4 linked regions of the Cricetulus griseus genome follow. The main gene of each other region encodes a partner of the protein of the gene in region 4 in a complex. Links are inferred from orthologs where the notes say so. Each region holds a gene or a part of one and is shown on either strand. Other genes may lie near its edges.

Region 1 (4,231 bases), about 9.8 Mb from region 4:
CTACAAGGAAACCCTGGGTACAGTGCCCGATTTTCTCAAGGTCTACAAGTAGACTCCTCTCTACCCCTACACGGGTGTCTCCATGTGATACTTGCAGCCCTCTGGTGCTCACTATTTAACACAACTTGACAAGCCTCTAGTGCTGTTCATTTCATCAGGCAGTCCACTTTCAGAGCCTGTTAATTACTCTCATTTGTTTGCTTACACACTAATTCGGGAGAGGCGACAAAGCAAGCAAATTTAACAATTTGGTGTTAATACTATATGAAGGAGTTCTGTATGTCTTCAAATGGCCCCCTCCCTGAACAGAGGGAAACCTCCCACACCAAACAATTGCCTTAGAAATATGAAGGCAATCATTTTCTATTGGTGATAGAAAAATGAAAAAGGGAGGCAGATGCAGCTTATTTTGGATCATATATGATGTTTGAGGAACTAAACAGAATACATAAATAGTGTTTTTCATCTCCTCTTGCTATTCCCTATACAGTCCCTCTGACAATACGCAGGAGCGAACAGTCACAGGCACACTCGGTTCTTGTGTCTATGTTCTCCACTTTGACACCCCACACCAGTCAGGATCAGCAGCGATTCTCGGAGACAAAAGTGTCAAGATGCTCCTGAGGTGGATTCTGACACTGGCTGCCAGCATAAACAAAGCGCGCGCACACCAGTGACAGATAGGATTCCTTTAGGCAGATACATTTCCCAAAACACCCTTAAAATATTTCTTTCAAGGAGCTTTTAAAAATAAGCATGTTATTTTTAAAAATTAAGAGACCCTAAGAAGAAACGCAGCTGTCTTCATCTCCCTTGATACCTCATCCAGGGAGCCCTTTGTTCAGTATCTCAGCACCTCCAAGAGCTCAGACTGCCCTCCAGCTCTAGACAAGGAGCTAGGAGGAGAATCCCCTGGGTAAACAAAACAAGTCTACTTTCACCCATCTCCAGGTAACAGCTAACAGCACACACACACACACACACACACACACACACACACACACACACACACACTTTATTTTACACAAGCATGACAAATAATCAAAAACATATCACACATTATTTGCATTGTGATCATTCTTTGATAAAATAAGCAATCCAGCAAGCACTATCAAAAAATAAAATCAACCCTTACATGCCCTGCCTACCTCAAGATACCCATTTCATTCCACACTTAGGTAGAATACACACACTCACACACCATGCCACAGTAGGAAAGCAGTACACACACACACACACACACACACACACACACACACACACACACACACATGCCAATAGGGAAGCTGCTGAAAGCAAAGCCATAACGTGAATCTGTGAATCGGTCTCACATAATAGACTCTCTTTAAACCCCACCCCCATCTCCAGAGAAAGAGAGAACCTCAGAAAGAAAGGAGCGAGGGTAAGAAAGAGAAATCAAGAAAGCCCAAATTTCCAGGCATCCACTTTTCATGAAATGCACAACCAGGATAGGAAATACCTCCCCGCTGAGTAATGCTTCATGGGTTGTAAATTCACCTCTCGAAAGGGGAGCCAGACCTGGGCGCGCACCCCGCCAGATGGCGAACCACTCCTACCTGCTCCATCCAGCCTGCCTGTCACTCCGAGCCCGCGACAGGCCTCCCACCCCCCTTTTTGGCAGAGCAACACACCAATAAGAGTCGAGAATGGCTGGTCGAGTGAGGGCTGAGCAGTGATTTAGCAGGATCCTTTCAAAAGGGGGAGTGGGGACCGCGATGAGCGAGTGAGATTTTTTAAAAACAAAGCCCTCTCCAGTCAAACCGACCGTTTGGGGGTGTGGCTTATTTCATTCGTTTTATTAATAAAAGAGATCAATGGAGCTTTCTTCTCTCCACCCACCCCAGAGGTGCGGGGCTTTGAATCCTCTTGACGAAGGAGAAATGGCAGGGCTGCAAGCTTCCCCTAAGTTTCCTGCAGCACCTGCCTCCTTCTCAGATCACCTCCACACACCAAAATAGAGGAGTTCGAAACGCACAATCCCAGCTCCAGACTTTGCAAGACCCAGGGGCGGCCGTACACAACTCTCCCGGTGTCACCCCCCCCCCCCCCGGGATCTGCACACATCCGCTGCCGAGCGCCCACTAGCAAGAAAAGTCCCAGAAGGAGACACCACCAGGCTCCTCAACAATCCCCAGATAGCCTGCGCCACGCAGAGACCCCTGCAGCGACCCAGACGTGACACTTGTCACGGACTCCTGGCTGCAGGGGCATGACCAGGAAAGTTGCCTAACAGCCCTGAGAGACGCAGCTTGCAGAGGAAAGGGACCCGCGGGGCAGCGACTCACGCGGCCTCCGCCCACCCCGAGAGCCCCGGGCAGAGGAGCGGAGCGCTTCACCCGGACAAGTCACCCACCGCTCCGGACCGCTCTGGGTCACCCGGATTCCGGGACCCACTGCTAGCAAGGGACGCGCGCAGCGGAGTGGCCCCGTCCTCTCCCCACAACGCTCTAGGCAGAAACTCACCTCCTCTTCCGAAAGTCCGTAGACGGGCTCCCCGAGCCCGGTCGCCATGGAGCCGGCGCCCCGCGCGGGGTCCTAGACGCTGCGATCGGCTGAAGTGCGTCGCGGGGCCGCGACCCTCTGTCCTTCTGCGCCGCCGGGCGGGGAAGGGCCGGCAGGTGAGGCTGCACCCGGCCGCGGCGCCGCTTCCTCCCGGAAGGCTGCGGGGACGCGCGGACTGGCGGCTCCGAGAGCGCGCCGAGCGGCGGCTGGCCGAGCGCTCTCTCTGCTCAGCGCTCAGCCCGCGGGCTCCCGCCCCCGCCGCTGGCTCTCCCGGCCTCCCCAAGCCCCGCTCAGCGATCCCTGGGACCCGCGCCCCCGCCCCTCGCCTGCTCCGCCCGGCCCGCCCTCTCCGCCCCGCCTGCGCCGCCCGGCGCCCACGGCGACCCTCCCGTTCGCCGGGGCGGGCACTGGCGCCCCCCAAGCCAATCACAGGCCGGGTTGGGGGGCGGGCCGCGGGGGTGGTGGTGTTTCGCCCCACGCCCACCCCACCCCCAGCGCCTCCTGGGTCACCCGCCGCAGAGTCCTGGACTGGGGCGCGCCCTGGCGGGCTGGGCCTGCCGGGCTGACCCTCTTACTTGCCCCGCTTTTCTCTGCCTTGGGGACCCGGTGGAGTGGACCTTAGGGGGACCATGAAGACGCCGTGCAAACAACAACAAAACCATTGTTTCCATTTTTATCTTTCTTTTTTTTTTCTTAACCCGAAGTCTCCAGGAGCGTTAAAGGGGCGACGATGCATGTTTCTAGACCCCCTTTAAATTCTTGGCAGCTATGGCAGGCCAGACTTGGCTCACCGCGTCAGCTCCCCGAAAGGATTCGCCTGGCCGGGCGGCCAGCCTAGGAGAGGCTGCCCCGTTGTGGCCGCGAGTCGCCATTGCCGATGTCAACTCTACTGGGAACAAAACCAACTCTGCGCCCGCGCTGAGTACACACCCACCCACTTGAAACCGGGCTGCCTGGTTCTTTGATAAAAGCTCGGGCTTTTTTTGTAAGGCACAACGTGAAATACCAAATTCAACTTTAAGTTTGTCCTTTACATATGCAAACCTTGGAGACGTCTTATTAGCCACCGTAGGAGTCTTCCCACATTCCAGATAGGGAATTTCTCTAGCAAGCCCTTCATTTAATCTTTCGAAGTACAGGAATGCAAGAAGCTACTTTAAATAAGTTAAGAGAAATTCGTCACTCTACTTTTTTCAAGAAGCCTCCCCTAAGAGCCAGCCGTGGTGGCACACGCCTTTTAATCCCAGTACTGGGGAGGCAGAGGCAGGCAGATCTCTGCGAGTTCAAGGCCAATCTGGTCTACAGAGTGAGTTCCAGGACAGCCTCCAAAGCCACAGAGAACCCTGTCTCGAAAAACCAAAAAACCCAAACAAAAAAAAAAAACAAAAACAAAAGGAAGGCATTCGATCCTAAAAATAAGTGTTGTGTGCAGTGGTAAATTAGAAACAAGAACAGAAAGAACGTGCTATTTTCCTTTAAAAAGAAATCATCAGAGTGTCTGGTTTTGTCTGGGAGGTTAGGATTTTCACTGAAGGAAGAGAGAACAGATCAACAGAGTCACCTTGCCTGGCCCACCTTAATGATCAAATACCTGGTGTACACCCTGAAAGGCGGTCCCACACTCCCCAACTTTAGCTCTCCCTTTCATCCCTTGCAATGTGTCCCATGTAATAGCTTTCCTTTGAAGCCAGCCTTGTGGAATCAACAC
Region 2 (4,073 bases), on a different chromosome or scaffold from region 4:
AAAATCAGACCGGGAAAGCCTCCCTTTCCTGGTTCTCTAGGATCTGTTAATAGACAGCTGACACAAACGCCACTGATCTCATTTCGACTAAAACTCCCCAAGTCCATCAATTTAACAGGAAGGCTGAAACCAATGTGGATTATCACTAAAATCAGGGCCCAGTGCCAGTGAGCAAACTTTCACAAGGATGACTGGCAAAGAATCTAACTTTCTAAAGTAACAGCCAACACAGTGTCATACACTACATTCACCCAGTGAGAGTTCTCTCCAGTCACCTGCTGTTTGTCCAGGGGCAAAGATGTCCAACAAGACCAGGGTCTGGGTTCTAGTTCAAAAATCATTATCTGACCTGACATCACCAGAGAAAAAAATGTCAATCTTTTCTTAAACAGAACACTCATCGGCTACAAACTTTCCAAGAATTTCCACCGTGGCAGGGAAGATACCACCATGATCACAGCCCTTACCCAAAGGCTCAGTCCAAAAGGACAAGCAGAGAGCCTTAGTTCTGACCACACTGCCTCAGAACAGAAAAATCCAGGGAAATCCCTGAAAGGCCTTAGACTTAGTGTTTATTTCCTTTTCTGAGCTAGAAAGCCCCAGAGCAGGCCCTATGCCAGCCCTGCCATGCAGCTTTAGAGATGGATTCAAACTGGTAAGGTCTCTGCAGGAAAAGGAGAGGGAGAAAGGAAGAGGAAACCAGGGGCAGTGGTCCAGACTCTGGACCCATGAAGTGGGGCAGCTATGACAGAGAGCTCGCCTCTCCCTCTATGCAAACAATACTGTTGCTGTCAGACCCAGAGCAAGCTTTGCGCTCACCCTTGAAGGTGGCACTACAGAGCACCTAGGAAACCTGAAAATTCCTCTGAAGACTCGGAGTGGAACAAGGAACCTGTGCTGGAGCAGCTGCCACAGCTCAGCTTGTGTGGGAGTGGGGGATCGCGCCACAACAGGGACTCAAGCATGTGGCACTGAGGGGGATGTTGGCGAAGGCACTGCAGAGGAGGTAGGAACCGAAGACCGGGACTCTGCAGTGCTAAGTGGCCAGGCCTCAGGGAGAACGGAAGTGGACTAGACTGGAGAGGTCTGGACCATTGAAGAGGTGGGGGGGAGTGAGAACAAGTCTGGGAGACAGACGTTTGGTCCCAGACAGGCTTGAGGAATTTGCGACTCAAGGGTGGAGGCTGTAAGACAGAAGCGAGGGGGCGGGACTGAAAGATAATCGAGGGCGGGATCAGACAGAAACAAGGGGAGGGGCTTGGGCAGCGGAGGGGGCGGGGCCAAGAGGGGGGAAGGCCCCTAGAAAGATGGAGATGGGGAGGGAGTGAGGAGGTAGGAGAGCAAAGAGAGGATCAAAGCAGGCCAGTGGGGGGGGGGGGGGCGATTCTCGGGATACCAGGAGGGAGAAGTGAGAAGGTCAGAGAACACAGTGGTGAAGGAAGAAAGGAGGCGAAGAGATGAGAAGCTACAAGGGAAAAAGACAGCAGACAGGTGGGAGGGTAGTAAGGTGTGGGACTAGAGAGGGATAGCAGGTAGGAGGATGGTGAGTGAAGAAATGGATGATGAAAATCTGAGGTGAGGGTGGGAAGAGCAAAAGGTGCAGCGAGGGGGCGGGACCTACATGAAGTTGAAAGTGGGTGTGGAGCTGAGGGAGCCAGGCACAAGGCCTGGAGAAGAGCAGGGAGGGGCAGATGTGGGACAGAGGGTGCCTGGGGCAGGATATAGAGAGGGTCACAAGAGAGCCGGTGGGGGACCCCGAGGGGCGGGACCTCTATGCAGCTGAGGGTAGGGGTAGGGCAGAAAGGAGAGCTAGGGGATGGTCCTGGAGAGGGGAGCTAGGGGGCGGGACCTGAAGCAGAGGGGTAAGGTTAGGGGCAGAGGGAGGCAGTTAGGGGGCGGGGCCCATATGCAAATGACGGTAGGTGTGGGCAGAGTGTGAACGGTGAGGGGAGGACCTGATAAAGAGGGAGGAGCCGGAGGCAGTACCTACCGAGGATCAGCGGGGGTTGGGGGTGGAGCCCGACAGAAGGATGAACAGCAAGTAGGGCTTGAAGCAGAAAAAACCAACTGCAGAGAAATTAGCAGGCGGGGAATAATGCAGAGGGAGGAGCCAGAGGGCGGGGCACCAAGGCTACAAAGTAAAGAGGTGGAGCCTGTGGGGGGAGGGGGCGGGAGTCTGCAGAACAGTCGAGGGCTGAACCTGGTTACGAAAGGGGGAGGATCTGCGGATCAATAGGGGCGGGGCTAGATGCAAGAGGGCGGGGCTGCCGCAGCGGGCGGGGCCTGATGGCCGGGGGTGGGGCCTGATGCAGAGGGAGGGTACTGGGCGGCGGGGGCGGCGCCTGCAGAGCAGCCGGGGGGGCGGGGCCGGGAAAGGGAGCGAGGGGCGCACGCCGTGGGGGGTGCGGCGGTCCCGGGACAACGGCCGGTGCGGCGGGGTGGGAGTCCTCGAGGTCCCTGGGACCGCCTGGGGGCGCGAGGGCCGCGGCCCTGTAGTGCCTACCTGTCAGACGGATCTTGATGCTAGAGCCGTTCCTACGCGTCCCGGGGTTCGACATCTCCCGCCAGCGGCCGGCCGGCCTTGGATCCAGCGCCGCCGCCCCCAGCCGGCCCGGCCCGGCCCCGCCGCCGCCTCAAGGTTACGGCCACGGGCTGGGGTGCCGGGGTCCGAGCCGGGACGCCGAGTGAGCGGCGCAGGCGTCGGACGGGAGCCGCGGGCTGGAGCCGCAGGACGGAGCGCTCGGCTGCGCCGCCGCCCGGAGCCGCCCCTGGCCGCCAGCCCGGAGCCGCCGCGCTCGCAGCCGGACGCCCGCCGCCCTCGCTGCTTCCGCCGCCGCCTCCCGAGCTGCGCGCGCCCGTCGCCGTGCCGGCCCGGCCCTGCGCGGCCCCGCGCTTGCGTGCGTGCATGCGTGCGCGCGCCCGAGGAGCACGGCGCTACGCCGACAGCGTTCGTCCTGGGCGCGCACGCGAAGGTTCAGGGAGCTACTAGGTTTCTGCAGCCCGTGGAGATTCTTGAAACAGACATCCCGCTCGCGGAGCACTTCTTAGCCACAATCTCGGAACGAACTGATTTGCTTGTGCAACGATTTGGGAAATCGAATTATTTTTCTAGAGTCGGACTTTTTCCTGATGGAAGCCAGAGGATTGTGTGAAACCCCAAGCACCTTGCGCGCGTGCGCCCACGGGCACGCGATATCATTTTTGAGAAAATAACGTTTAGATCCTGCAAGTTCCAAGAGAGGACTTTCCACAATGATCGGGTGTGCCCTGTGCAACTGGTGTATTCGATTGACAAAGTGGCTAGACCCTCAGGAAGTGAGGCATATGGACCAGCTAAACTAGATGAGTGATGTAAACTGGAGAGGTGTGTGGTTTTGTGGTTAGGGACCTGCATGCAATTAAACTAACCTAGGAAGGTAAGCAGTGGGATTTGCGATTCCCTGCCTTCGGGTGAAACACACACACCCCGCGCGCGTGTGCGCCCCTAGAGAGGCAGGCAGGTAAAAAAGTAAAAGCTGTGTTTTCCCCAGCAAGCAAACCCATCTCTATGGTAACACATTCTAGAGAGGAAATAAAACGTTCTTGAAAAGGCTGGGTATGTTTACCTAACTCACATCTGATATGAACCTAATTCTTTTCATAGACAGAGTTTATGTGGCTTCCTTAGCCCTGTTACCCACAGCACTTAGCCACCCTCTTTGGAGACAGAGGCTCATTTTTAGACCAAGCTGGCCTCGAACTTGTGATCCTCCTGCCTCAGCTTCCTGATTACCAGCCTGTACCACAACCCACCTGGCCTTACCCTAGTGGTTTGTTTTGTTTCTATGACCCTGTGCAGCCCAGAGTTTCAAATAGCTGTAGTGAATTGTCTAAGAAAAGGAACAGTATATGAGCAACAGTTAATCCAGACGCTAGCTCTGTCTCATTTTCTAGGCAGCTGTCATTGAGATTGAGACCCTAGGTCAGAATAAATCCATTTAAGAGTCTTTGATGAGGGTTGGTATGATAGCTCCATTGATAAAGTGTTTGTTGTGCAAGCATGAAAAACTGAGTCTTGTGGGGGTTTTAGATAT
Region 3 (3,994 bases), on a different chromosome or scaffold from region 4:
CTTACCAACTTTAGCCTTCTCCTCAGCCCCAGATTATTATTCCTGGGACTAAATCTCATCAGCTTCAAATAGCTTTAAAATGTTTTTTATTTATTTGTTTGTGTATTGTGTGTCTGCATGAGTTTATGGCATCACATGCAATAGGTGTCCATGGAGGCCTAAAGAGTGTTGGATCCATGGGAGCTCAAGATACATGCAATCTTGGGCCACCAAATGTGGGTACTAGGAACTAGATTCAGGTCCTCAGGACTCACTAGTAACAGAAGAGCCATCCCTCCAGCCCCCAACTGATTTTTTTTTTAAGATTTTATTTATTTATTATGTATACAGTCTTCTGCCTGCATGCCATCATAGAGCACCAGATCTCATTCAAGGTGGTTGTGAGCCACCATGTGGTTGCTGGGAATTGAACTCAGGACCTCTTGAAAAGCAGTCAGTGCTCTTAACCGATAAGCCATCTCTCCAGCCCCCCCCAACTGATTTTTTGTAAGTGCTTTTTATATATACTGTTTAATGCTTTCAAAGCAACATCTTATATTTGTAACTCTGAAAGGGAGGATTATCAATATGTGATCTGAAAATGGTAATTTTATTCACTTGTATAAGTAAATTATTTTCATACTCTCTAGTCTTCATTGTACTGCTCTTGTTTCTTGAAAATCTACTTCAGAGATTAGAACCACAGCTCTCTGGCTTTTTCCATCTTCAGTACATTAATTATGGGAGAATTACTCCATAACCGTTCAAAGAATTCATGAATTTCAATATGACAAACTCCTGATTATGCAACTATTATTATGCAACCTTTGCCTAAGGAAGTATGTTTCTGAGGAATTTGTATATATGTTTTTAATCTATCATTTTTTGGTAACAGAACTATGTAAAATATAACCAAGACTGTTTAATTCTTGTTTTCTAAATGTTTCTCAAGAGAGACATTTACACACAATGTTAAGAGTGACATAGCAGGAGAGGGCCAATAGTTCAGACTTACTCCTATCCATCTTTAACATTTAGTAAACTTCTTATTGGAATAATATAAACAAAGGACACAGAAATGCTGATTGATTAAATTTTCACTAATTTTAATTAACACATTGCACTAGCTTCAGATATTATGCAATTATGTGCTAATTTTAATCAATGATAGCTACAAATGTAGCATATTAATACTATAGTACTACCACTGAAGTCCATTAGAGACAATGTCTCTAATGAGCCTAGAGCTGCATACAGATTAAATCTGCTATAGTACTTTGATAATGTTTAATATTCATCTCAAATTCCTCAAAGTGTTTCTATTCTTAAATCTGTACTTCCCAAAGTTGTTCTAGCTAGTCCATCTACCTCCTCTAAAGAAATAATAAGGTAACCAAATTAAGGAAAGTTGTATGATAGTTAATCGCCATTGTGAATTTTATTGGGTTTAGAGTTACCTAGGAGTAGGTGGGGCACACCTGTATATGTTTGTGAGATGGTTTCTAGAGAGGACTCATTAAGGAGAAAGATCAAACTAGATGTGGCTGGCATCAATCCATGAGCTTAGAACACTGGCGGTAAAAAAGAAAAGCCACCAAAATGCCCCGTCCCTGTGCTCTGCTTCCTGGCCCACCATGATGTGAGCTTCTCTGCTGTACTAAGTCCTCATACAATGTTGAGACTGACATCTCAGAAACCAAGAGCCAAAATAATCCTTCCTCCTTTAAGTTGCCCCTGCCCCAGCTATGATTTAAGTAACTAATAGAATAGTATGCTAATAATGTCTCTACATTTCACATGGATAGGGGTATAACCTTCTTGATATGCTTATAGAGAACAGAATAAACCAATTAATAATCAATTCTTTTTTACTGAGACAGTCTCACTGAGTTGCCTTGGCTGGCCTCTAACTCCTCATACAAACTAGGCTGGCCTCAAACTCAGAGATCTACCTGCCTCTGCCTCCTGAGTACTAACATTAAAGGCATGCGCCACAAGGCCTAGTTTCATTCTTTCATTTGACATTTCCTGAGTACTCACTTTATGCCAAGTACTATCATAGGTTCTGCAGATAAAGATACAACTCAATTATCATACCATAAATACCTTTTTTTTTTTGAGGGAGAAATTAGAATCCTTTTATGTAACCCTGCTGTGCTCAAAATCAAGATCTAGGGATTGGAGAAATGAACCAGCGGATAAGTGCACCTCTCTGGTCCTGCAGAGCACCAGAATTCAGTTCCCAGCATCATCCACAAGGTGCCTCATAACTACTTGAACTCCAGTTCCAGGAAATCTGATGCTCTTTTCTGACCTCTCTAGGCTTTCTACATATACACACTATACATACATACCTACACACACACACACACACACACACACACACACACACACACACACACTCAACACATGCACACATATACATAAAGTAAAATAAATATTTTTTTTATAAACCAAGATCCAGGTTTTTATAAACCTGCTTCAAATTCCTGAGTGCTGGGATCATAGGAATAGGCCACTACATTGGCTACAAATGTCTTCTGTTATTTTTGCAAGAAATGTTTTTAAATTTTTTCCAAAAATAACAACAAAAATCTTTTTATATGTATTTGAAGTAGTAACTGGAAAAAACACTTGTGGAAGGGCGGCTACCACACTGTGGGTTAAGTCACTAGTTTCTTTTTTTATTAGAAAGAAGTTGCCTACCTGCAACAAGCATCTGTAATAGTATCAGTGCAATGCCCAGCGGTAGTAACAGAATGGTAACAGAATGGAATGCCCTGCTGTTCTCGTAAGTTGTACTCATAATGAATGGTTGTCTGTGCTTAATTTCAATAAAGCTCCCAACTGCTCATTATATCCTTGCCAAAAATTCCCCTTCCTCCTCCAGACTGCAGTTGCATTCCAATTACAATGCACACTGGAATGAAGCTGTTCAAAGGGGGTAGAGGGAGATAGTCAGATATCCTTCTTTTCTTTGCTCCCAAACAAACAAACTTTCACAATACTGTTCCTGTAACTCAAAAGTTACAGAGAATATTTTAGCCAACATATTTTTCTGCACGTTCTTCAAACTTACGTTGGCACTGTAAAAAGTTAACATGGAAGTCCAGTTTAACACCTCTAAATGAAATCCCAACAAGCTGGCCCAGGCTCCAAAAAATATGCTTCTGTGCACCATTCCTTACCACTGACACATGACAGCAGCAGTTTAGAATTGCCACATGTTATTACAGGAGCTTAGACTATAGCTCTATTGACAGAAGCCTGTGTAGCACATTCAGGGCCCTGGATTCCATCCCCAGCACCACATAAACGAGGTGCGGTAGTATATGTCTATCCACAGAACTAGAGAGACCAAGACTGAAGGAACTGAAGTTTAAGTCTACATAAAAAGTTTGGGGTAACATGGTCTACATAAGGCCCTATCTCTAAAAAAAGAAAAAGATAATATAGGACTTTGTAATAAGCAAAAGTATCAAATACAAATCTAAACACATACATACATTTTGGAGAACTACTTGAAAGTATTTCACTACACATAATTTCTTAGATTTATTCATTTTCATTATGTGTATATGTGCTATACATGTGTGCATGCAAGTGCATGCAGAGTTATAGAAGAGGGCATTGGATTCTGCTGGAGATGAAGTTACACGTCCTTTTGAGTCTCCCAGTTTGGACCACACTGGAGTCCTTGAAAAGAGCATCAAGTGCTCTTAACCACTGAATCACCTCTCCAGCCACTCAGCTATGAATTTCAAACCAGTTTATTTTGTTGGTGGTGGTTTTATGTTTTGTTTTGTTTTGTTTTTTTAAGACAGGGTTTCTCTGTGTGGCCCTGGCTGTCCTGGAACTCACTTTGTAGACCAGGTTGACCTGAAACTCACAGAGAGCTGCCTGCCTCTGCATCCAGAGTGCTGGCATTAAAGGCATGAGCCATTACCACCCAGCTTTAAATCATTATTTCTATGAATTATTTTCTCCAACTTAAAAATGAAAATATATATGTACA
Region 4 (4,125 bases):
GCTTGGCACCCACGCGCCCAACTAGGGAATCCTACCTAGCCCACCGAGAAAAAAAGCACCCTAAGTGTGCTGCTGAACTTGGAAGACTTGAGGGAAGCAGGGTACGCCCCTCTACCCTGAACACCAAGATGTGGAGAAAACAGAAGGCATGGAAGAGCTAGGACGATAATATAGGTATAGGAACCTGCTCAGGGTCCCAGCTATGAAGGCCAGGCTCCAGGGCAATTAAGAAAAGGGAGACACAGGGGGCTGGGGTTCTAAGGACCACTAATGGTATGCTTTTCGGTGCGAAATAAAGGTAAAAGTAGGGGACCCAACTTCTCCAGGCTGTTTGCTCCTTCTCACCCTGTGGCTGGCATAGCTAACAGTGGATACCTAGTTCGGTCTCCATCCTACCACAGCCCCCAAACTCCAAAGCTGAGAGGCCAGGGCAGTATCTGGGCCACTTGAGCCCCACGTGACTGTCCTTATTTACTAAAGGAGAGGAGACTTTCCAACTTTTATAGCTAGTTTCTCCCAACCTTCCTTGGCGGGCTTGGACAGAATCCAACTCGGCCACACACCTCAACGCCTATCCGGGTGCGGGGGAAGCGTGATCCCCACTTCGCTCTGAATTCCCTTGCTGACCCGGAAATAAGTGTGTCTCATTTTCTGCAGCATGTCTGTTCACTATAAGCATAAACAGTCTCCATGGGTCCTCCACCAGAGGGTGGAGGCGGGAGATAGAATATGAAAGGGAACCCCAAAGAATGTCCGAGTTTCCCCTTGTCCCTTCCCTGATTTTATTTCCCTCCTCTCCTCCAGAAGGGGGATGCACACACACCCTGGGAATTCTACCAACACTTCCGCGCAGGAGGGAACGAAAGGTGGACACAGAACAACTTCTTACCTAGTTCGCAGAGTCGACTAAGGTGATGGGGGTTGCAGCACACCAGCTCGGGGTTGATCTTCCCGTAAGATTCACAGCAACACAGCCTCTTGACTTCCGAGGAATGCCTGAGATCCGGCCACCTGAACACTTTGCACAGCAGGAGGGGGAGCGAGTAGGACGAGGGCGGCTGCGCGGGCTGCGCGCTGGCGGGCGCCCCCGGGCCCAGCCTGCAGTCCAGGCGGCCGGGCAGCAGTAGGCACGCGGTGCGCGTACCGCCGCGGGACTCCACGGCCTGGAGCAGCAGCTCCAACTGCCGCTCCTTGAGTTTCTTGAGCACCGAGTGCGTGAGCGCCTTCAGATCCGCCTCGGCGCCCCCGGCCGCCCCTGCACCCGAGGTTGGGGGATGGGGATGGTGGTGACCTTTGGCACCTCGGACCGCCTTGCCCAGGCAGCAGCCAGCCCTGCCCGCGCCGCCGCCACCAGCCCCATAAGCCCGGCCGTCCGTCGCCCCTTCTCCCCGCAGCTCGCCTCCGCCGCCGCCGCCACCCCCCACGCCCTCCTCCTCGTCCTCGCCGCCTGGCGCACGGCTCCTCCAGAGACGCCGGACGAGCGCAGATCGTTTGGTCCTGAACATGCGGGGCGAGGAGGCGAGGAGAAAAGTCGTTTGCCGGCTAAGGAGCGAACATGACCTCCGCACACCATGAAGAAGTCGGGCGCCGAGTTGTGGCAGCAGGCGCAGGCGACAGCAGCAACAGCAGGGGCCCGGGCAAGAGCGGCGGCGGCCCGATGGGCGCTCCGTGGCATGCGCCAGTCTCCCGGAGGCCGGGGCGCGCGCGGGGCCCGGGGGCGCCCGCCGGGGATCGGGGCCTGCGCTTCGGCTGCCCCACCCGGCGCGGCCCGCGCCCTGCGCGGCTCTCGGGCCCCGGCGCGCCCCGGAGAAACGCGGCCGCCGCTTCCCTGGGGGCGGCCGAGACTGCCCCGGTGGACGCCTCCCCCAAAAGAGGCCCCCCTACAGTAGCTCCCGAGTGTCGGGCTCGCCAGCCTCGGCTTCCTACATGGAAGATCCTCGGGGGCAAAAAAACGAAAGGCGTTAGGCTGTGCTACTGAAGGGAGGAAAAAGCCTCTTTCCCCCTTGCTAAGCAACTTAATTTGGGGGTGGGGAGAAGCAGGCAATTAAAAAAAAAAAAGCAGGCACACGATTTATTTTTTTCTTCTATATCCTTAGTAACCGGATCTCCTCGAATTCTGTGCTCGCGAAGACTAGAGGGAGGGGGCCGAGTAGACTTCACCCCGCGTGAGACGTCTGTAGGGTCTCTCAAAAAAAAAAAAAAAACCCAAAACCAAATATGCAAAGCCCCCAATGAAAAAAAAAAAAAAACACACACAACACCTCCTGGCACCTCGGAGGTCTGGGGGCCACCGGATGGAGCCCGGGTTTAGAAGAGAAAATGTTTACAAAGTAGAACAAGATGTTGGAGGGGTGGGGAAAAAACGTATCCACGAGTTACATCCCCCCCTTTTTTTTCCTTGCAGAACCCTGCGGGTCTTCCTTTCCTTTTCTTCTGCCAAAAAAAAAAATCGTATTTCTTTTAATCCACAGAAGGGTCTGGCTAGGCTGCTTCAATCTTGCGTGTCTGGGTGTTTCAGAGTCTCTGGTCTTTCCTCCTGCGCTCCCGGGGGCCCAGGTCCTCGGCGGGGACTTCCTCGGCTCTGGGGAAGCAGGGACAGAAGATGCTGCGGCGGCGGCTGCGCCCCGGGGGGCTGTCAGCGCAAGGGAGGGCGGCGCGGCGGCGGGCTCCGGCGGGTCGCAAGCTCTCGCCCCCGAGGGCACAAGCAGCAGACTAGTGTGGGGGCCGCCGATGCCCCTTCCCCTGGTCGCCGGTGGCTGCAGAGGCTGCCCGAAGGAGCTACTGGCCCCGAACCGACTGTGGCGGCAGGAGGCCCGGGTGTCCTCTCGCTGCCTCTTCCTCCGAGACTCTCCTCGTCTCGCCCGGGAGCCTCCTCGTCCCCCGTCCGCCCTCTCCTGGCGCTCGAGTCCTTCTGCCGCCGCTGGGGGCTCGCCGCGCCGCACTCAGGGACTCCGGGGCCGAGCGCTCGGCGGCGTGGCGCCGGCCGGCTGGCTGGCTGCGTCTCGGGCAGCTCTCTCCGGCGCGGCGAGCGGACCGAGCGAGGCGCCCGGCTGGCTCTGCTGGCGCAGCTCGGGGACAAGATCCTCTGTGCGCCGATCTGCTAGCGAGTGTCGCCCGGGGCCTCACGCCGTCTAGACACCCTGTCGCTTTAAAAAAAAAAAAAGCGATTGTGTTTCGCAAACAACAGATCGGGTTTCTAAAAGCTATTTCAACCCCCCCCCCCCGTTACCGCCACCCTCTCTTAGGTCTGCAGAGGGGTACGCATGGGTGGAGGGAGGTGGGAGGCCGAGACAGCCCGGGGGTCGACGGAGACCCAGCGGGAGCAGGGGAGAAATCGGAAGAGCTGGGGGCATGGAGCGGGCGAGTTTGGAAAGGAGCGAGTCGGTCGGTGGCCCGATTTAGACCAGCGGAGCTCGCCCCGGCGATTCATTCATTCGATTTGTTTTAAGGCCCTGGCGGCGGATCCCTTGGAAAGGGGAGGAGAACGCTGTCTGTTTCAAAGACATTTACACCGGCCAGGACAGAGGCCCTAGGAAGTGTGCGCTAGAGGGAACAGCCGGGCGGCCGAGGGCGGAGAGGCGGCGCGAATGTGACCTCAGCGGCCGCCGTGCTCCCTCCCGCCCTCTCCCGCTCCGGGCTCGGGTTTCTAGGACTGCCTGGAGAAGTGTGTCTTGTGCACAGCTCTGGAATGCATTTGGCAGGCTGACGAGCAGCGAGGGGCAGCATCCTGGAGGGAGGAGGGGTGCTGCTCGCCTGTGCGCCGCCGGCAGGTTTCCTCCCGGCCGTTTAGACCTCCGGCACCCGCTACTGGGCCTCCCGGCGCGGGAAGGTTACCCAGAGAGCAGACCAGCTTAGAGCTTTCATTCGCACGCGGGGGCCTGTTCCTGGGCCCTGCTTGGCCTCGTGGCTTTCAAGGTGCTTAGGGTCAGGGTGTTTTAAAAAGCCATTCCCAGATGCAGGTGACTGCTTGGAAGTAGGAAAGATACTTGTCAAGCAAAGGTCCTGGGTGCTGGTCTGGGAATAGTTACTACAGTGTTAGAATGATACTGAGGCCACTAGTTGGCATGGTGATCCAACCTCACATACTATTTACTGGGTTTTTAAGAAGTCATTTGAAAGTGTGAG

What was found.
Region 1: the proteins of Smad7 (region 4) and Nedd4l are in contact, whole or in part, in an NMR structure (PDB 2LTY), measured with the Homo sapiens proteins. The link is inferred for Cricetulus griseus from reciprocal best matches to the Homo sapiens genes SMAD7 and NEDD4L. Residues at the interface, in NP_005895.1 of Homo sapiens: Glu203, Glu205, Ser206, Pro207, Pro208, Pro209, Tyr211, Ser212, Arg213, Tyr214, Pro215, Asp217; in NP_001138439.1 of Homo sapiens: Arg394, Asp396, Lys398, Arg400, Tyr402, Val404, Asn405, His406, Arg409, Thr410, Thr411, Thr412, Trp413.
Region 2: the proteins of Smad7 (region 4) and Smurf1 are in contact, whole or in part, in an NMR structure (PDB 2LTX), measured with the Homo sapiens proteins. The link is inferred for Cricetulus griseus from reciprocal best matches to the Homo sapiens genes SMAD7 and SMURF1. Residues at the interface, in NP_005895.1 of Homo sapiens: Glu203, Glu205, Ser206, Pro207, Pro208, Pro209, Pro210, Tyr211, Ser212, Arg213, Tyr214, Pro215, Asp217; in NP_065162.1 of Homo sapiens: Glu313, Arg315, Ser316, Thr317, Arg321, Tyr323, Val325, Asp326, His327, Arg330, Thr331, Thr332, Phe334, Thr335.
Region 3: the proteins of Smad7 (region 4) and Smurf2 are in contact, whole or in part, in an NMR structure (PDB 2LTZ), measured with the Homo sapiens proteins. The link is inferred for Cricetulus griseus from reciprocal best matches to the Homo sapiens genes SMAD7 and SMURF2. Residues at the interface, in NP_005895.1 of Homo sapiens: Glu203, Leu204, Glu205, Ser206, Pro207, Pro208, Pro209, Tyr211, Ser212, Arg213, Tyr214, Pro215, Met216, Asp217; in NP_073576.1 of Homo sapiens: Glu304, Arg306, Asn307, Thr308, Ala309, Thr310, Arg312, Tyr314, Val316, Asp317, His318, Arg321, Thr322, Thr323, Gln324, Phe325, Thr326.

What each region holds. Positions count from the first base shown.
Region 1 is NC_048595.1:174,385,168-174,389,398, forward strand, and holds the start of Nedd4l (E3 ubiquitin-protein ligase NEDD4-like), read right to left. Parts: upstream 2,833-4,231; 5' UTR 2,533-2,832; coding exon 2,485-2,532; intron 1-2,484. UniProt on the Homo sapiens protein: E3 ubiquitin-protein ligase that mediates the polyubiquitination of lysine and cysteine residues on target proteins and is thereby implicated in the regulation of various signaling pathways including autophagy, innate immunity or DNA repair.
Region 2 is NC_048597.1:81,373,303-81,377,375, forward strand, and holds the start of Smurf1 (E3 ubiquitin-protein ligase SMURF1), read right to left. Parts: upstream 2,823-4,073; 5' UTR 2,559-2,822; coding exon 2,504-2,558; intron 1-2,503. UniProt on the Homo sapiens protein: E3 ubiquitin-protein ligase that acts as a negative regulator of BMP signaling pathway. Mediates ubiquitination and degradation of SMAD1 and SMAD5, 2 receptor-regulated SMADs specific for the BMP pathway.
Region 3 is NC_048600.1:119,827,557-119,831,550, forward strand, and holds the start of Smurf2 (E3 ubiquitin-protein ligase SMURF2), read right to left. Parts: upstream 2,801-3,994; 5' UTR 2,786-2,800; coding exon 2,686-2,785; intron 1-2,685. UniProt on the Homo sapiens protein: E3 ubiquitin-protein ligase which accepts ubiquitin from an E2 ubiquitin-conjugating enzyme in the form of a thioester and then directly transfers the ubiquitin to targeted substrates.
Region 4 is NC_048595.1:164,565,319-164,569,443, forward strand, and holds the start of Smad7 (mothers against decapentaplegic homolog 7), read right to left. Parts: upstream 2,838-4,125; 5' UTR 1,506-2,837; coding exon 890-1,505; intron 1-889. UniProt on the Homo sapiens protein: Antagonist of signaling by TGF-beta (transforming growth factor) type 1 receptor superfamily members; has been shown to inhibit TGF-beta (Transforming growth factor) and activin signaling by associating with their receptors thus preventing SMAD2 access.